Coturnix japonica: one gene and its partner. The protein of the gene in region 1 binds, or shares a complex with, the protein of each later gene. Links are inferred from orthologs where the notes say so. Each region holds a gene or a part of one and is shown on either strand. Other genes may lie near its edges.

What was found.
Region 2: RRS1 (region 1) and RPF2 share a complex: the UniProt entries of both Homo sapiens proteins name them as parts of the hexameric 5S RNP precursor complex. The link is inferred for Coturnix japonica from reciprocal best matches to the Homo sapiens genes RRS1 and RPF2.

The regions. Positions count from the first base shown.
Region 1 is NC_029517.1:104,229,580-104,234,260, reverse strand, and holds RRS1 (ribosome biogenesis regulatory protein homolog), read right to left. Parts: upstream 2,443-4,681; 5' UTR 2,376-2,442; coding exon 1,305-2,375; 3' UTR 1,164-1,304; downstream 1-1,163. Other genes in the region: ADHFE1 (hydroxyacid-oxoacid transhydrogenase, mitochondrial), read right to left, coding at 1-21, 176-231. UniProt on the Homo sapiens protein: Involved in ribosomal large subunit assembly. May regulate the localization of the 5S RNP/5S ribonucleoprotein particle to the nucleolus.
Region 2 is NC_029518.1:60,330,610-60,335,728, reverse strand, and holds the end of RPF2 (ribosome production factor 2 homolog), read left to right. Parts: exon of another isoform or gene 1-1,138; intron 1,139-2,136; coding exon 2,137-2,239; intron 2,240-3,225; coding exon 3,226-3,370; intron 3,371-3,523; coding exon 3,524-3,703; 3' UTR 3,704-4,206; downstream 4,207-5,119. UniProt on the Homo sapiens protein: Involved in ribosomal large subunit assembly. May regulate the localization of the 5S RNP/5S ribonucleoprotein particle to the nucleolus.

The sequences.
Region 1 (4,681 bases):
CTGTGAGTCGGGCACCGACATCTGGATAGCAGGAAAGAAAAAACACAAAGAACACACAAAGAACACAACACAAGTACTGAAGTGCCGTTTTAAAGGTAAAACTAAGGCAGAACACCCGAAGGAATCCCTCAGAACCTCCTGCAGGCATTCAACCACCCGTCCCGCCCGCACTCACGCCGCCCGCTGCAGCTGCCTGAGGAGGCGCACGGCCCGCTCCCGCCCGGCCGCCATGGCGCTGCACGGCCCGCTGGGACGGCACGGCCGGGAACACCCCTCAGGAGCCGCGGGGCGGGACGCCGGGGGACTTGGCTGCAGCGCTACCGCTCAGCTCTTCACAAGCCTCGTTGTCCTTCTCTGGACCTGCTTCAGCACCTCACAGAATCACAGAATGAGCCGGGTTGGAAGGGACCTCAAGGATCATGTAGTTCCAACCCCCCTGCCTGGCAGGGCCACCAAACATACACATTTACTAGATCGGGTTGCCCAGGGCCCCGTCCAACCTGGCCTTGAACACCTCCAAGGACGGGGCATCCACAACCTCCCTGGGCAGCCTGTTCCAGGGCCTAACCACTCTCCTTGTGAAGAACTTCCCCCCAGCATCCAACCTAAATCTTCCCTCTTTTAACTTAAAACCATTTCCCCGTGTCAGCCCTTTCAAAGAGTTTACTCCCTTCCTGGGAGTAAGTTCCCTTCAGGTATTGAAAGGCTGCAATGAGGTCACCCCACAACCTTCTCTTCTCCAGGCTGAACAAACCCAACTTTCTCAGCCTGTCCTCATAGGGGAGGTGCTCCAGCCCCCTGATCACCTTCGTGGCCCTCCTCTGGACCCTTTCCAAAATCTCCATATCTTTTTTGTACTGAGGGCTCCACACCTGGACACAGTACTCCAGATGGGGCCTCACAAGAGCAGAGTAGAGAGGGACGATCACCTCCCTATCCCTGCTGACCACCCCTCTCCTGATGGAGCCCAGGATCCCATTTGCTTTCCGGGCCGCCAGAGCGCACTGCTGGCTCATGTTAAGTCTTTCGTCCATCAGGACCCCCAGGTCCTTCTCTGCTGAGCTGCTCTCAAGGACCACTCCTCAAGGACCTCCCCATTGCAGAACACAGGAGCTGCTGCCCAGCCACCCCCAAGCCCTCCCACAGGAGCCGTGCACAAGACATTTCAAACACCAAAATGTGTTTATTGACAGAGGTGCGGGCTGCACAGCGGTGGATGTGGAGCAGTCCCTTTGCACCCCTCGCATACAGTCCCTCAGTGCCCACGGCGCTGTTCCCTTTGCAGCCTGCATGCAGACAGTCCCTCACGCCTTCTTCCTCCTGCCACCGCCCCCCGCTGGCTGCTGCTGCCGTCGGGCCGCGCCGCCCTTCTTGCCGCCTCCGCTCCTCTTCCCGGGCCGCTGCTGCCGGCGGCCCCGCTTTCCACGCTGTCCCCGCTTCTTGCCCTTGGCGGCGGCCGCCTCGGCATCCTCCTCGCGGAGCTGCTTGTTGACGGCGCGGGTGATGTCCAGTGCCGGCTTCTTGCTGTTCATGCCCCGCAGCAGCTCCAGCTGCCGCCCGCGCTCGGCCGCCAGGTCTCCCAGCAGCGGCTGGAAGCGCCGTTTCTTGCCGCCGTCGCGGGAGGGCGGCTCCGCCGGCTCCTTGGGCAGCCGCGGCTGGAAGCGGCCGAGCGAGGCGGTGGAGACGCGGGCCACGCGCGATACCAGGCCCAGCTCCTGCCGGCTCTGGTGGCCCGTAGGGTGCAGCGGGGCGGCGGCGGCGGGGCGGTGCGCTCGGGCCAGGTTCCGCAGCCGGTTGAGCTCGTTGCGGGCCACCCGCTCCCTCTTGGCGTGCCGCAGCTTGGCGAACTGGTCCTCGTTCGGGTCTGCGCCCGCCGGCACCTCCGCCAACCAGGCGCGGGCCGGGTCGCCGCCCGCCCGCCGGTACCCCCAGCGCCGCCGCCACTCCTTGGCCTCCTCGTCCCACACCAGCGAGGTCCGCTTGCGGCGCCGGATGCCCTTCAGCCGGGCGAACTGCTCCCAGCGCGTGGGGGGCCGCGGGCGAGGCGGCGGCTTCTCCCGGGGCAGGCGGAACGCGGGCTCGGGCAGCCGCGCCACCAGCGGCCCCGCCGCCCCGTCCGCCCGCTCGGCCGGCAGCTCCCACAGCCGCGCCGCCAACAGCTGCGCGTTGTCCCGGGCCAGCGCCCGCAGCCGCGACTCCCGCTGCGGCCCGGCCCCGCGTAGCGCCGCGGCGGGAGGCGGGTTGGGGTCCAGCGCCAGCAGGTTGCCCAGGTCGAACTCCAGCTCCAGCTCCTTCTCCACCTGCACGCTCCGCGCCTGCTGCTGCTCCTGGGCCGCCGCCGCCGCCAGCACCTCCTCCACTCGCACGGCCGCCATGGTGGCGGACCGCGTGTGGCCGCCCGAGCGCAGGAAGCGCGGCGCAGCAATACGGGTCAGTGCGACGGAACTGCGTACAGAGCCCGGAATGACGGGAAATGTAGGCTGCACAGATACGGGCCTCAGCGCCCCATGGGAGATGTAGTACACCATGCCGGGCACAGCGGCTTCCACAGTCCCTCAGCCCGCTGTGTGGTGGTTGCCACAGTCCTTCGCCCCGCTGTGTGGTGGTTGCCAAGCAGGCATTGCATTTAGCCCCAGCATGGGACAGGGCTGGAGTGAGGGTCTGTGAAAGTCAGGTGTTGCTGCCCCGTGGTATCACGGAAGGCCAGGGCTGTGACTGAATGTGCAGCATCCAGGGTGAGCAAACGGCCTCACAGCTCTGCCAGCCACTGTGGGTGGTGTGTGTGATAGCACGCAAACATCAAGCAGGTTTAAGACTCACAGATTTGTAAATAATATAGATACATTTCTTTCACAGCATAAATTTCCATAACATTCAGGTGCCCGCAGCACTGCGGCACAGCCATGTCTAAAAGTTCTAGCCGCAGAACCAAAATTCAAGTCCCATATAGTCCTCCCCAGGTGCCCAGGGAGGTTGTGGATGCCCCGTCCTTGGAGGTGTTCAAGACCAGGTTGGACGGGGCCCTGGGCAACCTGATCTAGTAAATGTGTATGTTTGGTGGCCCTGCCAGGCAGGGGGGTTGGAACTACATGATCCTTGAGGTCCCTTCCAACCCGGGTCATTCTGTGATTCTGTGATATTCCAGCCCCACTAGGACTGACAGTGACCCTGAGGGCAGGGCTGTTGGTGAAGGAAGAAGGGGAACAGCATTTGGATAGTGGGATTGGCAGGTGCCTCATGAAGCACAGTGAAAAGTGAGGTGACACCGTGCACCCAAAGGTTGTCTGGGTCAGAGATATTGCCATGCTATTTTTAAATAAATGAGGTCTGGAAGGATCCTTTTACAGGGATGTGGCCTGCATGGCCATGACATTTCGAGCTGACTCATGTACCCTCAAAACAAGCTAAAGGGGGCGTCTAGTTGTGGCCAAGGAAGTTATGGGAATTTTTACACAAGATACACATTTCTACTAAGCTAAATCACATCTCTACGGATACATAATGTCTGCAGTGACGGAAATGACTCTAACGGCAGAGCAGTGTTTTGGGGAAGTAAATAAAATGCTAGGCTTGTAAATAGAGATGAATGTACTTATAATTCTAACTGTGATAAAGTCTCGTTTTTTTCCACTCCCAAGTCAACAATTCTGAGTGTGTTTTGTACACTATGGAAGAATTGGAGCAGATGACGCATACCTTTTCTCCTTTTACCACAAGATGGCATTGCACTGGAGGCTATGCTCTTTCTTGGACCTCGTTATTTTTTCACCTAGAATTACAGATGAAATTAACTTTAAAGATGCGTCTTTGAAGGGATGTATGTGCACTATTAGATGAGATTCAAGCATACGTCTGTACTTTTGAATGGCAGTCTGGTCAATACCTACCTGCTGATCCTTGTGCTCTCCTGAGTTTTGTTCTTATGCAGTGAACTCTGAGTTCTTTTGGTTAATATTTGTTCAAAGCCCCAAAGCGTTCATATAAATGACTAGGAGTGGAAGGATGCAATCGCTAGTATTTCTTACACTTCCAAAGTTACCTTGAGAGTTTATGATTACTGTGTGTCACTAGAACAGCAGTAGGAGCACATACCAGGACTTGTTGTTTCATCTGATAGCCTGAACTTGCTAAGAAAAGAAAAAGAAGAAAAAAAAGCCCATAATGTAGCAATTCAATTTCTGGGAACTGTTGTTTTAGAGTTGCATTCCAGCTTTCTTATGTATTCCAGGAACTGTAATTTGCTATATGGGTGCTTGCAAATCAGTAAACAGGTCTGTTTGTTTGCTGCAATGGGGATCCTTGCCAGGAAACTCGGCACTCAGTACACTTGGCCTAAAACTGAGTTCAAAGGTGAGTTTTTTAATGCCTTTTTGTTTTTCTTTTTTCCCCCCTCCCTTTGCTGTATATTTCATTGCTGGAAGCAAGGAATTGTTCCTGTGCACTTATGCATGTGGTTGGACAGTCGCAATTAGTAATAAACAGAAAATCTATTTTGATTCAGTTTGGATTGGTTTTTTTTTTTTGCTATTAATCAATATTATACTTCCATCAGTCTAGGTAAGTCTTTGCAATGTGTCACAAGTGAACGTTATACACATTCTCAAAGCATTAAAAAAAATACAGCATATAGTTTTAATACATTACTAGGGAATAAGATTGAAAAAGCTTCTTACATCTTTTC
Region 2 (5,119 bases), on another chromosome or scaffold:
TATTTCTTCCCTCGAATTGCTGCCTGCTGGTTAATTTGCTGTTGCGTACCACTTGGGTCCTAAAAATGATTAGACATTACATGGCTTTCTTATACACTTTCTGAACTGTTGATCTGTTGGAGACTGCTGCGGTTTCAGATTGGCCTGTTCTTTGTACTGCCTTCCTCACACAGACTTCTGTCCCTTCCAGAGATTTCCGGGTTCCATCTAGTCAAGAAAGGGGATGGCTGGGAAAAATAGCCTGGGATAGAATTTAGACCCCTCCAATATTCAGTTGCCCAGGGAGGTGGTGGAGTCGCCATCCCTGCCAGTGTTCAAGAAGCGCGTGGATGGGGAGCTAGGAGATATGGTTTAGGGATTTCCTGTAGGTATGGTAAAGGGAGGACGGTTGGACTAGATGATCTTTTAGGTCCTTTCCAACCTTGTGGTTCTATGATTCTATGAATGTTAATCATAGCTTCAGAGGTTACAGTATTGTCACCTTCTGGATATGAACTGATACAGGAAGAAATGTATAGGCTAATAGAATTCCTTAATTTTCTGGACTACCTGAAAATTGGAAGGGTTTGTGGAGCTCTCTGCAGGAAAAAGTAAATTAAGAAGCTCTGGAAATGTGTTGAGGGAGGAAAAGGTAGGAATGGAAAGAGAGGAGAAAGCAAGTCTTTAGTCCAACCAAAGCAAGAGATGTAAATTAAGAAACATTAAAAATGTCTGTTCTTTGGGTGTACTGAAGTGTAAGGTTTCTGCAGCTGTTGAACACTGCCAGGAAACAGAAATTCCTGACCACCTGCATTTGTTTGGAACAGATCGTCCTGTGGGTAAAAGGATCTGATGCCACAGGAAGACACAAAGAGAAGTGTTGCCAGTAAAAGCGCTGTAAATGTTCACTTGTGAACCCACAGAGAGCGAGTCAAAGGGAAAAATATGTGCAAAATTGGACTAAGGATTTTATTTGCAACTTCTTGTTAGTAGCTATAAATTCAACCCAGGAGGGAGGAGTGAGAGTATTTAACTGACCAAGGAAATTGCTGGCTAGACTCCAGCTGATACATGCCAGCAAGACTTTGTTTTGGATGTCATTCTGATGCTGATACCTCTTGAAAAAGGTAGTGGAGGAAAAGACAACCAGCTGAGAAACCTGAAACGGGACAGAACGAAAGAGACTGATGTGTTTTGCATCTGTTAGTGGTTCTCCTGTCTTTCAGCATTGCCCTGCCGTGTTTATTAGCACACCTTGTTCCCTCAGTCAAGGTCACATTCTTTTTTCCACCCCCTGCATCTGTTGGGCAGATTGCTGTGCTTATTTCAGGCACTGGTTGCACAGTATTTTTCATAGTCTCATGTGAAAAGCTGTCTGGGGATGGTTTATTTGGTATTTAACCTGTCTTTCGGCGTTCTGTTTGCAAACTAAGCAAGTATTTCTGGTGTTTATTTTCTATAGGTGTGTTTTGCTTATTAAATAGAGAAAGTATTAATTGTAATGACAAATCTCTCTTACTCAAAGAACTTAAGTGCTTTATTGTGGGGGAGGCACGAAGGAATTTACATACCAAAACCTTTCTTGCCCAAGTCACTGGGAGGGGAAGGTAGATAAGATTAAACAAAATAGTTCTGTTCTGTTTTGTACAAGTCTTTATCGCTTCTTTATGCTCTTCCAAGTCTGACTCTGATTAAGAGTCTTGAGTGCTGTCTTAAAAAGGCATCTGAATAAATGGCTTCTCTGTACTAATCTGCTTAGCTGAATGTGAACTGGCCTAAACATAAAACAGTGTGTGTTTAAAGACCTTGTAGCTAAAAAATGTAGAGGAATAGACTGTTTTGCTATCCCAGTCAGATTGCTAAAACAGAATTACTGCTCTGAAAGGGTATTTGTTCTTGTCCATGCACTTGGGCTTAGGTCCCATATATGAATATTGCTTCTGAATTAACTCTGGGAAGTGTTCCTCTCAGGATTCCTACATGCACTTGGTTGTGCAAAGACCCTTTTTGATGCCAGAAGAGAATCTCTACAGAGACAAGGAGTTTATATTGCTTCCATCATATGGCTCCATTATGATGTGAGCCATTTGTTACAGTCATTTCCTGGCTTTGTTTTCAGTCAAGGAATCAGACACTTACTTTTAAATATCTTTTCAGATTTCTTCAGAGGTCCCACTGTGTCCAACATTCGTCTGGCTGGGTTAGAACATGTTCTGCATTTCACAGCTGTCGATGGCAAAATTTACATGAGGAGCTACAAGTGAGTGTGTATTTTATCCATGTTTGGTTTTCTGGTAGACTTGTCAAGCTCTCCCAAATTTTAGCCTGTAATTCTGTAATTAAACTGCCTGGAGCAGTAGCGAACTGCATTTAAAACATATGGTATGTAGAGGTGTTCTGCTGTAACTCAGAGTAACTTGTGTGGCAGAAGGAAAGCACTTAAGACCTAAAGGTGTTCATTCCTTCTTTGTTCATTCCTCTTCCTTCTAGCTAGGAGGACTGTTCTCTCATGGTTGGACTGGTAATGTGTTGCAAATTAGACTTGGGGAACTGGTGAATTTGGAGTATCTTTTTAGACTTCACAGACTTAGTCTGATGTCAGGCTGATGTCGTAGGACTCTGTTGAAGAACAGCAGGCAGTACACTGTAGTCAGAGATACAGAAGGGAAAACAGGAATGTGCAGAACAAGATCATCTTCCTGACCTGGCATTTGCTCTCACAGTTCATGGCCTTTCCTCTGTGGGCTGCAAGTGCTGAAAGCCCATGTATTCTGTGCAACTTTGATTTCTCCTGTAACAACAATCTCTTTCTTAAAGAAACAAAAAACAGTACACACACAGCAAAACAGCACCAATAGAAAAGGCAGACTTTTTGCCTAGGGCTCAGAGTGTTTTGCTGTAAACTGCAGTATATGTACTTTCCCTGTTTGTTAATACACAGGGCACTGTTTTGAATTTCTGGAATGGTGTGGCTTTTTAGGGTAGTGTAATTGAATGTTAAGAGTTGTAATGAGAGTTCTAATCCCATTTAAAATACAAAAGCTAAAGAGATCATATTTTCAGTGTGTTCATGTTGTGATGGAAATTAATTATAAATTTATTGACAACTTTCTCAATAATAGAATTAGCAGTAGCAGTTTGTTTTTAATAATCTTCCCAATTGCAAGATTGAAACTGCCCTTTAGGAAGGCAGATAAATATTTGTCCCAAAGGACAATGTTGGTTGCTTTTGTTCTTTCCTTCTAGGGTGCTTCTGAAGAAATCTGGCTGTAAAATACCAAGAATTGAACTGGAAGATATCGGACCTTCGTTAGATTTGGTTATGAGGAGAACACATTTAGCTTCAGATGACCTTTATAAGTTATCTTTAAAACAACCCAAAGCCCTAAAGGTAAATCCCTTGGGATCATATGCATGTGTGGTTTTAGGCACTTGATTTGGTGGTTTATTGGTGATGATGGTACAGGCAGACACGCCTGGCTTCTCACCACAGCTACAAGCACACTCTGTACTCAGAAGTACTAATGCCGTTCTTCCCTTACAGCCTAAGAAGAAAAAGAACATCTCCCATGATGTGTTTGGTACAACTTATGGTCGGATCCACATGCAGAAACAAGATCTTAGTAAACTGCAGACAAGAAAAATGAAGGGGTTAAAAAAGAGACCAGCAGAGAAGTCAGCTGAAGATGGTGGTGTTAGTCCTAAAAAGACAAAATCTGGGTGATGGCCTGGAACAACTTGGAAAGCTATTTGTATCTTAATGTTTTTAAATGTAAATTATAATATAAAAGTGGCAAACATAAAGGATTTGGCTGCCTTTATGTTTAGTTTTATATTAAAAAATCTCACAAAAATTTATGATTTGTCATTCTGAAGGGAGCCTTGAGTTATTGAGCTCTAGCTTAGAGCCTGCTTATTTAGAAGGGGAGGGGGGAAACCACAAGATGTAACATGTTTAGTTTTCCAAAGCTGAATATTTATTCTCTTGATATGAGCAAACATGTGCTAGTTAAGCAGGTGACTCATTTCCCGAACAGTTTTATGGTTACAATGTTGGGAAACCTTGATCAGTCAACCTATCTTATGAACTCCTTGCAGGACCAGCATAGTGTGTACACATAATATGTGCAACATGACTTCTGCGTTCATTTACTGCTGATGTGTTTCAGTTTATGCACAACTGCAATACTTTAATAAACTCCAAACCATTTTCTAAAGTATGAACTCGTGACACGTGTCTAATGCCAGATTACTTGCACCAAGCCCTCCTTACCATTTGCAGAATGAGAAGTGATTAAGGTGTTTTCGCGGTGTTCATCACCATGGTAGCAAAGTACCTGATGTTTGCTTTAGGCATAAATGAAACCTTTACAGTTGGAATTTTGATCTTTGATGCTTGATTTGTGCCCAGAATGGAAGGAGCAAAGGTAAGTTAGTATTTTTGCTGATCTTAAGGATCTCTACCGTGTTTTATTTTGTGGTATGTGAAGCAGCCGTGAAAGGTACGAGTCTTCCCTTATCTCTGCTTGAGAGCTGCTTCTCTCCATAGTCTATGCTTGTGAGTTGGGGAGGATTCTGTATTATAAATATGTGCACTTTAGGTACACGATGAACACAGCAATGCTGCGAGTTTGTTCTTTGGTACTTCCTTTTCTATTCAGTTCTCTTAAGAGTTGGGTCAGCTGAAGTGTCACATCAGGAGACAGCTTCTTATTTTTGCCTCTCTCCTACTTCCTGGATGGAAGCCGTTGGGCAGCTTTGCAGTCCTTGTGTAAGAGCTGAGCTGTAAGTCTGGCAGTGCAGTTGCCATGCGGTGTTCTTGCTGCACTTGGTTTGATGAAACTTACAGCATGACAAAGAAAGGGCTTTCAAAGTGTGGGGTCTTTCTGAGGTCATTAGGCTGTTTTTGGTTTTTTATATACAAATTGTTTTCAAGTTATGTTGCTATCGGGGATTGAAATCTGTTCAGTTTCTGGTAAGTACTTTGTATTAGTCAAATAGTCAAAGTGGTGCTGTCTTGGTGCATAGTGGGCAGTGTGGGTTTCTTAGTGTGCAAGGAGATAGTTGCTAGCTTGGTTTCATCCTGAGCTCACCTCATGTCTTATCAGCCTTGCTTCAAAGCAGTGATGAAGCCATGAGA